2 linked regions of the Drosophila melanogaster genome follow. Changing the gene in region 1 together with any one later gene gives a genetic interaction. Each region holds a gene or a part of one and is shown on either strand. Other genes may lie near its edges.

Region 1 (7,357 bases):
GAACGAAGTTCTATTTCGACCCGAGCAGCTATTCTACACGCACTTACATCGCAACTCCACGTACAAGGAGCTCTTCAGACTTCGGTAAGCCCTTATGCTACTCTTCCAAAAGCAAGTATAACTAAATTTTATGCTATTCAAAAACATCTTAAATGTATTAAAATCGTATGTATTATTTTAGATTCCTTAGGATCCTGGAAACTGGTGTCTACCGGAAGCAGCGCAGCTACTGGGTGCACATGAAGCTGCACTGCGTGGCCCAGAACTTCGTCATCACCGTGGGAATGGAGTACGTGGCTCCTCTGCTCCTCATGCTGATCTGCGCCGACATCCTGGTCGTGGTAATCCTGCTGGTGGAACTGGCCTGGAAGCGCTTTTTCACGCGTCATCTCACCTTTCACCCGTAGTGCTTTAAAATCGCTTTAAGCTGCTGTAACAACTATATTCTATTTGCACCCAGGAGAAAATAAAAACACTTTGCGTTAACTTTTCGCATCGCAAAATTATGCAGGGCGACGCTTTCCTCACTTCCTGTTTTCGCGCCGGAAAATTGCAGCACGGCTCGTTAAACGGAGGGATGGATAAAGGGGTTTGCAAAGGACGTGGTGGCCATGTTTCCATGCGATTTTCGTATTTGCATTAAAAACTTTTCGTGTTTGGCGGTTACTTTTTATACTCCATTTTCCCTTTTGGCAATGATTTTATTCATTCTCTTGGAGCCATTTTATTTGCATTTTCGTGCACGGCCACATTCGAATTGAAACTTTGTTCCCCAATGCCACGTGCGAATGTTAGATAACTGATTGTGAGCCTAATACGGCCTATTAGAAACAGTTAACAGTTGTGTTTTTCGCATTTCCCCGAATTTCACCGGAATCAGTAGTTTCCCTACCGCAGACATCGCATGTTGCCCCGAGATGATTTATGGTATTTTAATGATGGCGCATCGCCAGAGGCGACAAATATGGGAAGGGACGTGTCAAAGCTTTATCGAAATTGATTGTACAATAAATAAGAGTGAGTTGAGTTCGCACAAATATTATTAAATTGGGTGTAGGAGCAAATAAATGGTATTATATGGCTGCTAATCAAATACGCAGTAAATTATATATTTTTTCAAGATTTTACATTTGCCTAAGTCAAGCAAATAGTATTAAGAACTTCGTTCTTAAATGACTCCCAGTCGACCATTAAAATGCAACTGACACAACTGCTTGCCAAACAGCACTCACTGGCATTCCGGAATTCCCAAAGTATTACTATAACAAATTGCCTTAACAATTTGTCAACTCAATCTGGCTGTCAACAGGGCATCGCTTTGGCCATAGTTTATGCCATGAAAGGACTACTTTCCCTTCGCAGGGAGGACAACTTTGGAGTGACTCGAAATTGACAAGCAATTGTGAATTATTTATTATTTACAACATCGAACACGGGTGTCCCTTTTTATCCCTAGCAGCCTTAACCACTTTATTTTGCAATTTGTCAACAACATGTTCTCTTTTTTAAATGCAATGTATAGCCCTGTGGCAAGTAAAAAGTGTTCCATGCTTTGCGGCTGCGGTGTGAAATTGGTTTTGGCGGTTTCCGTACGTGCTAAATGAGCGCGAAACGGATTTAATTTAAACGGAGCTATTGTGGATGGGAAAACGATACCCGAGAAATTTATTATGACCAAACTCTTGGCCGGTACGATTATTAGACTTAAGTGTACGGGAAAAGATAAAAAGGGGGAAGCGGGCTTATGGCCATCACCTCATCAGTTTGATTACCCTTTCTGTTCCCCAGAGCCTGTCATATACGAATTGCCATTGCCAGTGATATCTTAAGATTTATATGGCCCAATGCTGCGAACGTCTTATCTGTAATTTAATCTGCTGGCCACTTAACGATAATGATAATGTCGATTGCAACTGGTCCGGCTGTAATCTAGGCCCGTATTCGACGAGTCCTCAGTAGATTTTCATTGCTCGAGCGGATTGAGTGGCAGCCGGAAATAATTCGAAAGTGTACGTACGGCTGGTGTTTGGTATTCACTCGGGGGAGTAATGTTTATTGCATTTTACGCCGGATTTATGGCCGTAGAAAGTATCTCAGGGTTCCGTTTCAAATGAAATTGTTATAAAATTAGCCAGCATTTCCAGTTGAACGGGTAAATGTGATTTGCATAGCCGAACCGTTTGTCATCGAGTTAAATGACCTCCGTTTGGTTTACTGTGTAACTTTAAAAAAAAAAAAACAAGTGAATTTATCGATACTACTTTTTAAAATCTTTCTACTAGAAAACAGGTGTTTTTGAGCTTAGGAGCACTTTTCGGATTACGCATACGCCACGTGCGCCCGTTGAAAAACAATAAACTTAGAGGGAACGACCATTAGAGCTTACTTGATATTGGGCAGCACAAATTAAAGCTAACAGCGCTATCCGCAATTAAACTGCCTAACTTAAAGTTAAGCGTAATTAAAATAGCTATGACTTATTCAATAACAGGTGCTAATTACGAAAGCTAACACAAACACGAAGTTTGAAATACCCTCCAAAATACAGTTGCTAACTTGATCGTTTTCAATACATTAATCAAGAGCTAGCACATGCGTTCAAAAGTATTGGAAAATCTTTAAGAACCCTTCGTAGTGACACAATATCTTCATAATCTAATCTATACCAGTTCGACTATCGGATTGCTTGGGATCTTTGAATGCCAAAGACCGCTAGCCGATAAGCATTTCCCACCATAAAGAATCACAAGGTTCGCAGATTTTCCCCCATCGAGAAATTCGAACATCTTATCGCTATCTTCGCACTCTTGAGAAGAAGGGGTATTCTAAACCCAATGCGAATGCACTTGCCAACTCGAAAAACGTGACGTTCGCTGACCGACCTCAACTCCCCCGCTTTTGCCGCTCGAATCAAATCGAATCAAATCGAATTGAATTGAATTAAATGATACTATATATGTAATCTGTAATGTGTGCTACCTGCTAGCGATCTACGTACGATCAACCTGCTGATCGGCACTTTGGCACTTGCTGCATCTTTTAATTGTTTTAGTTTTTATGCTGCCGCTGGCAACTCGCGTGATACCTCATACTTGGGCTCCCAGCCGCTTGGCTCCATTGTAGTCGCCGCTTGTTATTGGTTCTCGTTCCGTTGGGAGGGTTCGCACAGGTTCAGTCACTCACCGATCGCCTCGAAGCGCGAATCGTCGTCGCCGTCGTATCCAACAGTTCTCGGAACCTTAGAACTACCAAGCCGAAAAATAGTGGCAAGATGTACGGTTGTACTTTATAGTGAACAAGAGCAGTTGAAGAACCCATTAGTGCTATGAAAAGTTATAAAGTGCAATAGAAAGTTAACTCTATGTAAACATTTTTACATTTGTTGTAAATTCAACCTTTTACATATTATATTACATAAAATGCGAAATTAAATATCAAAGGCTTAAAATTTCTTATGGAAAAAAAATTATTTTATCTATTAATTTACTGATTAAAAAGTTATATTTGAAAACGAAAATCCCTTTAAGCACTCTATGCTTCAGAATTTTTTTTTCAAGATATATGCAAGATCTAGCATTCTCAATTTACCAGTGATATTTCGAAATAAATTTTGAGTATCGGGTATCATATTTTTTGATAGCAAGCAAAAGTAACTGGATAGGAAAGTGCACTGCGAATTGGGTCAACAACTTCATAACTGCGCAAATGGATCAAGTGAATCTCTTGAATGAGTCAGTGGCCAACGAAGTGCAGGACGGCTAAAAAGCATTTGCCTGGTCTCTGAATTAATTAAATTAGTTAATTTGTTATAATTATTTTACAGTTAGCGTGCCTTTTCTTTGTTGGCTAACAGGGCTCGTGCTAACTGTTGATTACATTATTTGAATTGGTTTGGCTTGTTGCAAGGTTAACTTAAATGATCTGGATAATTAAAAGCTGCCAGTCAAGGGCGCTAATGAGAATTGGGAATATATGCATTGAACGGTCTAGATTATATTATCCCATCTGTTGTCCCCATTTCCTCTTCGATCTATTATCAGTCACAAGTTCTGTCGGATGTAAACAAATCAATTCATCTGCACTTTGCACCACCGAAAACATTGCCAAAAAACTGTGATATATATACGTACATCTATATATCCGGTAAAATCGCACATATGTAGTTTATTTCCCGCTACAGCTGAATGTTATCTAAAATCTTATTTATTTAAAACCTCCAAACATTGCAAATTAGCTAGTTATATAGCATAGTTAAATGCCTGAGAAATGTGTAAAGTAATAGTAATAGGCTACTTTATTACAAATTCAAATAGTAAAATAGGAAATACGTGTGCACCTCCCGTGAAAATATCCCGCAAGGCACTTAGCTATATAAATATGAGTCTTTTAACCCGTCAAACCCTGAGTCTGAACTAAACAGCTGTCTTTTCCTACCTTCAACACAATTTGTATATTTTTAAGCATTTATTGCACGTACTTTCCATATATTTTAGCGACTTCCCCTAGTGACCATATTATGTCAAGTTCAAGACTGCTTACGCACATGCTCGGCTTGGGAAATTAAACAATTTATTTAAATTCGACTCGAGCAGTAGTATTTGCTCAGCTTAGAAGAGTGAATAGCAGTTTCTTTTAAGAGTATAAATAGCTCATAGCTGGGAAAGAGAATTCAATTAATAGTTGGCCCATTCAAAGTAAATTAAGTAAGGTGATCATGAACTAAGGGTACGGCGCTGATTTGTTTCTTGGAACAAATAAATGTTGAACTAAAGCTACTAAAAGAAACTGTTATTATAAAAACGTGATATTGATTTCGTTGCCGTTTTGAAGTCTTAAAACCACCTTCGTTCACGCTTGACCAATTAAACAATTTGCGTAAATGCTAAAGCTTTTAAAAAGAGCAACATTAATTTTTTTAGAGACAAATAAGTTGTTGATTTCTTAGGAGAAACTAGATGAGTTTAGATTAGAGATAGTAAATGGTAAAAAAAGTTATGAAGTGAATCAAATAAATTTGTTGGATTTGCACTAAAAATATTAAACAAAAGGGTTTTTTAATTTTTGTTTAGCCGGCTCAATATGACGGCAACCAAGCAGCAAGAGGCTGAGGCCGAACATGATCCCCAAGTGGTGGTCACCCCTGGAGACGCCTCTCGCAGCTCTCGCCAAGATCGGGGTCTATGGCGGGATCTTACTTCCTACTGGATCCTCGGTCTGTGCAACAACTACGGATACGTGGTGATGCTGAGTGCTGCGCACGATATTATCAAGCAGTTTAATCCGGTAATTACAATAGGATTATAGCACTTTTAATACATTTATTAATTGTTCGCCTGCATAATTTTTTCTTTTTAGAATGATGAATCGGAAGAAAGCTCGTCGGGAAGAAACTGTCACTTGGTTTCAACAGGTGCCATCTTGCTGGCAGACGTGCTGCCCTCATTATTTGTCAAGATTCTAATGCCATTCTTTCCATTTTGGGTGAAGTGAGTACTATCTACAATATTAAATAAATTTGATTTGATGCATTAAACTTGATATGATACTAACACAAAATCGCATTTTATTTATTAGTTTCCGTATAGCTCTTGCCGTGGCCTTTTCTGCAGCTGGTTTCCTCCTGGTTGGATTCGCCAATGCCGAATGGATGGCTCTTTTGGGTGTCATCATCACTTCGGCTAGCAGCGGAATAGGAGAAACCACTTTCTTGGCCTATTCTTCGCGATACAATAAGTGAGTTGTCTGGTAAAAGTACTAAACAAAATATCATTAATTCCATATGTTTTTCTTAGGAATGTGATCTCCACTTGGTCGTCCGGAACTGGTGGCGCTGGAGTTATCGGATCCTTGAGCTATGCTAGCTTGAGATCCTTAGACTTCAGTCCCAGAGATACTATGCTGATTATGCTGATCTTCCCTGCGATCGAGGCCTTTGCATTCTGGTTGCTGCTTCGTCGTCCACAAGTTGATATATTGCCGGTTACCACGGTTGAGTCCACGGAAGTCCTGATCAGCGATGAGAAGCCATTAGTTGGGTTCAAGGAAAAGCTCTTCTATATCAAGCACCTCTTCAAATATATGTTGCCCCTTTGCCTGGTTTACTTCTTCGAATACTTCATCAATCAAGGATTGGTAATTTAGCTTTCTTTAATTCATACAAAAAAACATTCATTGTCATCCATTTTTCAGTTCGAACTGGTTTACTTTGAAGATATATTCCTGGACAAGGACTCGCAGTACCGCTGGCTAAATGTGGACTATCAGATCGGAGTCTTTATCTCGCGCTCCTCTGTCAATCTCTTCCAGCTGGACAAGATCTGGCTGATGTCCATCTTCCAGTTCGTCAACGTGGTATACTTCCTCACCGAGGTTATCTGGTGGTACACGCCTAGCATCTGGATCGTGTTCGCCATCGTCCTGTGGGAGGGACTTCTGGGCGGCGGTGCTTACGTGAACACCTTCTATCGGATGTCCAAGGAGATTTCGCCGGAGCGCCAGCAGTTCGCCATGGCCATGGTGGTACAGTCGGACTCCTATGGCATTGCTCTGGCCGGATTTCTGGCCATTCCCGTGCACAACGCCATCTGTGGTCTTCCGGCCGCGGCCAGAAGCCTTGTTTGGTGATACGGATCGAGGATCAGAATCAGGATCAGATTATGCCTTTACTGTGTGCGTGTTTAGCCAAATAAGCGTGTGTGTCTGTGCATGTCCCTATAGTATTAATCACTGGATCACTGGACATCCGGTAACCAGATAGATCGTTGTATAGTTAGTATGCTGCTGTTAGACTACTCTATAAGTTTAGTTTAATAAAAAAAAAAAATAAACACTACACTGTACATTCGATTTCATTTAATTTCAACGTACCCAGATGCAAGCACTTTTCCGAAAATGTTTTCCTTGGCAAAGTTTGGCTTTTTCGGCACAAAGTGCTCACGGCTAACCACTTTGATAAGCACACTGATCCCAGACAGAATGCGCCCCACTTGCTCTGAGTTTATTCAACTGTCTCCAACAAAAAGCCTCTTAAATTGTACGTATTTACACTACCTACACATTATAATTACTTAGATGGAGCTGCTCGGTTATTAAATAAACTTGTTGCTTGTGGCTTCTAATTCGGTTTGATCGGTTTCAAATCGAACGCCAAACGATCGGTTTGGCAGTGAGATGCCGGCTGAGACAGATTGGGAGATCGAGACCCAAACCGATTTGGGGCGAGATGTTACGTGGACCGCTCGCCGTTTCAGTTGATCGGTAGCTGCCGTGCAAGGCAGTCGAATATTACGCGATTGTCTAATACGTAAGTTGAGTAACCAAGATGCGGGGCTTATCAGCGTTTCTGCTTTTGCTCTGC
Region 2 (4,806 bases), on another chromosome or scaffold:
AAATGTGCCCGGTCTGTTTACAAACATTTAGCGTTTTCCATTAGATCTAGGCCTTCCGCAGTGCGCGCGTGTATCTGTAAATGTATCCGTATCTGTGCGATGGGGTTTTCGGTATGAGTAGGTTTACTATACATATAGTATACACTATATCTGAGCCACTATTATCGCTGCGCTTTCGCCCCACGGCGAGAGCAAACACGCGCGCGAAGAAAACAAACAGCGGCGAGGGCCAGAGAGCGGGTGACTCAAAACGAGGAAGGGGAGTAATCTAACCATTCTCGTACACAGAAAAAAAGTGTAAATAAACACATATCATACCCATATTTTCATTTATACACAGTTAACAATCAGTCCACTATTTCGTTATCTGCACGGCGAAAATCAATGGAGAAGTGTGTGAAATAATGTGCGAGTAAACAGAAGTGGCAAAAGCTACGTCATCGTTGAAGAGCGCCACCTCAATGTTGACTGTCCACCACAAATATTTACGTCACTCTAGATCACCCAACCGCTCACCACCCACCGCCCGCAGTGCCACTCGCCCAAGGTTGCAAGACGTCGGGGAAAATGCGTGCTGCGCTGTTTCGAAGCGATTTGCACAGCGATTAAGTTCCCACTTCCATGGTAATTCCAATAAAGCGCCATAGGCCACTGATAACGCCCGCAGGAGAATTGAAGCCCAGGCGGAGAGCCTGAGTATCTCAATCTCAATCTCAATCTGTAACTGAATCGGATTCCAAGTCTGAATCGGTACCAAAACAAAAGTAGCAATTCAAAACAAACGTAGCGAGCGGTTTCGTTTACGCAATCAGCTGCGAAAAACACGAGAATGCTCATGTGTACATAAGTGTGTCCAAGTGCCGCACAGCGCCACAGATTTCGTTTATTATTAATTTTTATTAATAACCAGCGGCCGCAGAAGGTTGCGAAAAGTGCCGAGAGAAAATCTGTGTGCGAAATATAGAGCTCTGGAGTCGAGTCATCAATAAAGTCCGGCAAATATGACAACTTGGCAGTATTTTTTCGCCCCAGCAACAATTAGTTTTTATAGGGAAGTTAGTAAGAGATACAGTTGTGAACAAGTCGGTGGCCTTTTTGACTCTATTTCGCTACTACCTAGTTAATAACACGTGTGCAAATCGTATTATGAATCACTAGACCTCTTTTATTCAAGGCATTTTCGTTTGGTTTGTAGATTACAGTCTTAGTATGTTGTAATTAAATTCGTAGTAGAATTAAGTTTAGGTTATAGTAGACAAAAATACAAACTAAGATAGGAATTATGCCTATCAACAAGTTTACATCTGATTAGGGAACTTAAGGTACTTGGGTACAGTATTAAAACTATGAATAAAATTTAGGAAGGTAGCAGGAAATTAATAAATATTGTTAAGACTTTAAATACCACCGGTAATTGTGTGAATACAAATAATACAACTATGCTCCATCATTTCAACCGCAACTGTAAATGGATAATTGGAGTCTCGCTGCTCTCTTCCTGTTCTTCGCACACATACACACGCATGGGCGCGAACGCTGCAAGTGTCCGTGTGAAGAAGGAGAAGGCGAAGAGGTGGGAATCCAAAAGCTAAGGATGCAGGACTTCATTAGGAAGTGGTTCGCATATCCCTTTCGTTATCTTCTTACTTTCGCCCCCAGCAATGAAACGCCATGAATTGGGGGAGACGGAATCTAACGATTGCGAACGCGTCGTATCTTGTTTTTTGCATGCATGACAATGTGTGCAGAATACGCGCGCGCTCACACACTAAACCACTCGCACAACCGAAGGCGTGTGTGCATGTATGCAATTTTTTGGGGTGGTATTGGCGGTGAAGGCAGGAGGGATGAAGGGAAAGAGACGGGCGGAGAACTCGAAAATTTAGCAAGTAAACACTCTCCGATTGCGATTACAAAGTCAGCTAATTTCCTTTCATTTTTTATTATAAATTTTTGATTCCGTTTTTTTGTTGATGCCCAACAGTTGATGTATTTTCATACGCGATACACACACAACGCGCTACAGACACTTGGACGCACACAGACACAACGTCTGGCAAGTACATCGCTTTTTGGGCCGTCTCTTTTGCGGTTCATTCAATAAAATTATTGCGAATGGCAGGCGCAAAACAGAATCGCAAAAATTGCAGTGTATTGTGGGAAAGAAGAAGAGGCGTGTGGTAAAGAAAAATGCCGTCTCTCCACCACACACATTACACATGCACGCAATTTTGATCGCTACACGCGCCACCCACACTCTGCAATGTTTTTGTTGTTGTTGCAAGCCGATTTTGTTTTGATTCGATACTTTATTTATGTATACATAATATTTAGGAGCAGCGCATTTCCGCGATATTCGCTGGCGATTTTGCATTTCATTGAAACGCACACAAAACGCAGGGAAAAGAAAAACAGACGACGGCTAACTCACCTCGAACACACGCACACCTACAAACCACACACAGCGGAGAGCGAGGAAATTCAACACGACGGTATGCGTTGTTGCATAAAGTGCGATAAAAGGGGAGACACTGAAAGAAGCAAATCAGCCGAGTTGTATTCAAAATCGGGATCCAATATGGGCTATTGCCGGGATATATAGTCCGATTCCCTGGCAAGGCCGCAAATCATCCACGGAGTACGTGAGAACACACCGTCGGTCACATTCACAGTAAAATTCAAACACACACACACTAGCACGCAGACAACACAGAAGCCGCAAGAGGGCAAAAGAGAGCGGGAGAGAGAGAGCAGCAAAGAGAGAGAAAGAGCGCGGGGGCAAAAACCAAAAAGTTATACACTCACGCTGCAATTCCTTGTTTCTGTTTCTGGCGTTTTTCGCTTTTAGTGCTTAGCACGCTGGCTGCATTCGATCAGTTTATATACAATTTTCTCTTGCGCATATTTATTGGGGGATCACGAGTTAGTTTTCGACCAATATATCTTCCCGGATAATTGTAATTTTCGCTATTTTCCGCGGACCGACGCTAGAGCGTTGGTCTGACCACGACGATAATATCTGCGTATCGATACTCGGCCAGAGAGTACAGCGATAGTTGCATATGACGAGAATGTGAGCTGTTATCGATATCGAACTCTAGCACCCCTGTGACGCCACCATTGTTATGGTACTCTATTAACATATACTTGGCAAAACTGGAGCACCTTGAATGAATATTTGTACAAATCAGAGCAGAAAAAAGCAAACAGCACGACAAACTGCGAGACAGATTCGCCGCTTCGACGCCATGTTGTCTTTCGCTCTTGATTCGCCCCAAAAGAGTGTGCAATAATGCACGAACTGGGTTTTGGTGTTACCGTTTTTCGCACTCCCTACTGTTACGATAATATTTTAAAACAAAAACACGTTAAATATTATAAAATTAGAAAATAGAGCTATAAGTACGTTTACTTAGTATTAAAAAGAGCAAACAGTTTGATTACTCAGTAATTACATCCTCGATTCGAAAGTTAGCATTGTAGTAAACACATAATTCCGATTAGAAATCTTTTCCAGCTTAATTTAACTTGAATGTAAAGTGTCATCTTAAACTAATCTCAGGTGCTAGTTTATAATGAATGTAATGACACGTTAGAGTGCTAAGATATTTATTATTCTGTTAATTTTATGATTTTCAGATATTAAAGAATTTCGAATTTTCTGCCGCCTTAGTGTGGCCAGGTGGCGGCGGATTCCAAATGCCTGCAGTTGTGCCCCGTCGTTTTGGTATTCCGAGTGAAAGACGCAGCGACCCGCTGCTGCGATGCATTTGCTCACTTGGCCAACTTCGGTGCTGCGTTCCCGATGCCTAGGACGACAAAATGCTGCGCCAGAACCTGTTGGATCAGCTTAAGCACTTCATAGAGACGGTGAGCAATGGGCACAGTTGTCCGCAGCTGCTGACCAGCCCCAATCTCATCAAGCTCGCGTGAGTAGCAACCGCGGTGGTTAATAATGATGCCCGTAGTAAATAATTCCATGGATATTTGCAGACTGGGATTCCTGGAGGAGCTGCCCGCCACGCGAGACATTGTGTTCGAATACTTCGCCCTGCTGGCCGAAATCAGTGTGCAGCTGTATGTGTCGCCGGAGATGGCCGACCCAAAGACCGGTATGCCGGTATCCCAGGTGAAGCTGGCCGGGAATCGCCAGCAGCAGCAACGTGCTCCGGAATACGAGGCTTTCAATCTGGTAAAGACCGCGCTGCAGAGTCTGGTGTGGAAGGGACCGCCCGCCTGGTCGCCGCTCATCGCCAACTGGAGTCTGGAACTAGTGGCCAAGCTGTCCGATAAGTACACCCAGCGGCGGATGACCATCACGGCCAGCTGCAACTATTGGCTGGAGTGCAGCGCCATGCACGGGCTGATGACCCTTATAAATAGTTGTTTCCGAAAGTTAACCCAACCGGAGGAGGAGGCCTGCGTGGAGATCATGCTCAATGCCTTTCACCGGTTTCCCATGACCTTCGACTGGATTGTGGCGAGATTGGGCGGCTGTTTCCCTTACAAGATCATCATGCAGATTCTACAGTGCGGCATCAAGCGATTCGTCGATGACTACCGCTGCCACCTGGATTCGGAGGCGGGCATCCTCGATTATATGACCTCGTGCCACGAACAGCACCTTAGGGCAGCCTTTCGTGAGATGCTTAGGGAGGGATTCGCACCGAAGAAGCCGCTGGACGTGGCCGTTGTTCCTTTCCTGCTGATCACCACCAACTACTCGGACACGATCCTGCAGAGCTTGGTCAATGTGCTAGTCGAAATCTGTAAGTACTGGTTGAATAAAGAGATATATTATTTCTC

The links. Genes that interact genetically often act in the same process or in processes that back each other up.
Region 2: of Cln3 (region 1) and flfl, changing one suppresses a phenotype caused by changing the other (phenotypic suppression), as found in Drosophila melanogaster (one study listed by BioGRID).

What each region holds. Positions count from the first base shown.
Region 1 is NT_037436.4:17,808,712-17,816,068, reverse strand, and holds Cln3 (Cln3), read left to right. Parts: upstream 1-1,949; 5' UTR 1,950-2,009; intron 2,010-3,177; exon of another isoform or gene 3,178-3,273; intron 3,274-5,069; 5' UTR 5,070-5,079; coding exon 5,080-5,283; intron 5,284-5,355; coding exon 5,356-5,486; intron 5,487-5,574; coding exon 5,575-5,733; intron 5,734-5,792; coding exon 5,793-6,132; intron 6,133-6,189; coding exon 6,190-6,624; 3' UTR 6,625-6,838; downstream 6,839-7,357. Other genes in the region: Ir75a (ionotropic receptor 75a), read left to right, coding at 1-84, 182-407; CG32191 (uncharacterized protein), read left to right, coding at 7,322-7,357.
Region 2 is NT_033777.3:13,682,150-13,686,955, reverse strand, and holds the start of flfl (falafel), read right to left. Parts: upstream 3,036-4,806; 5' UTR 2,806-3,035; intron 2,532-2,805; 5' UTR 2,432-2,531; intron 1-2,431. Other genes in the region: omd (oocyte maintenance defects), read left to right, coding at 3,823-3,929, 3,994-4,769. UniProt on the Drosophila melanogaster protein: Regulatory subunit of serine/threonine-protein phosphatase 4. The probable PP4 complex Pp4-19C-PPP4R2r-flfl (PPP4C-PPP4R2-PPP4R3) is required to prevent caspase induced cell death (in vitro). May be involved in DNA damage repair.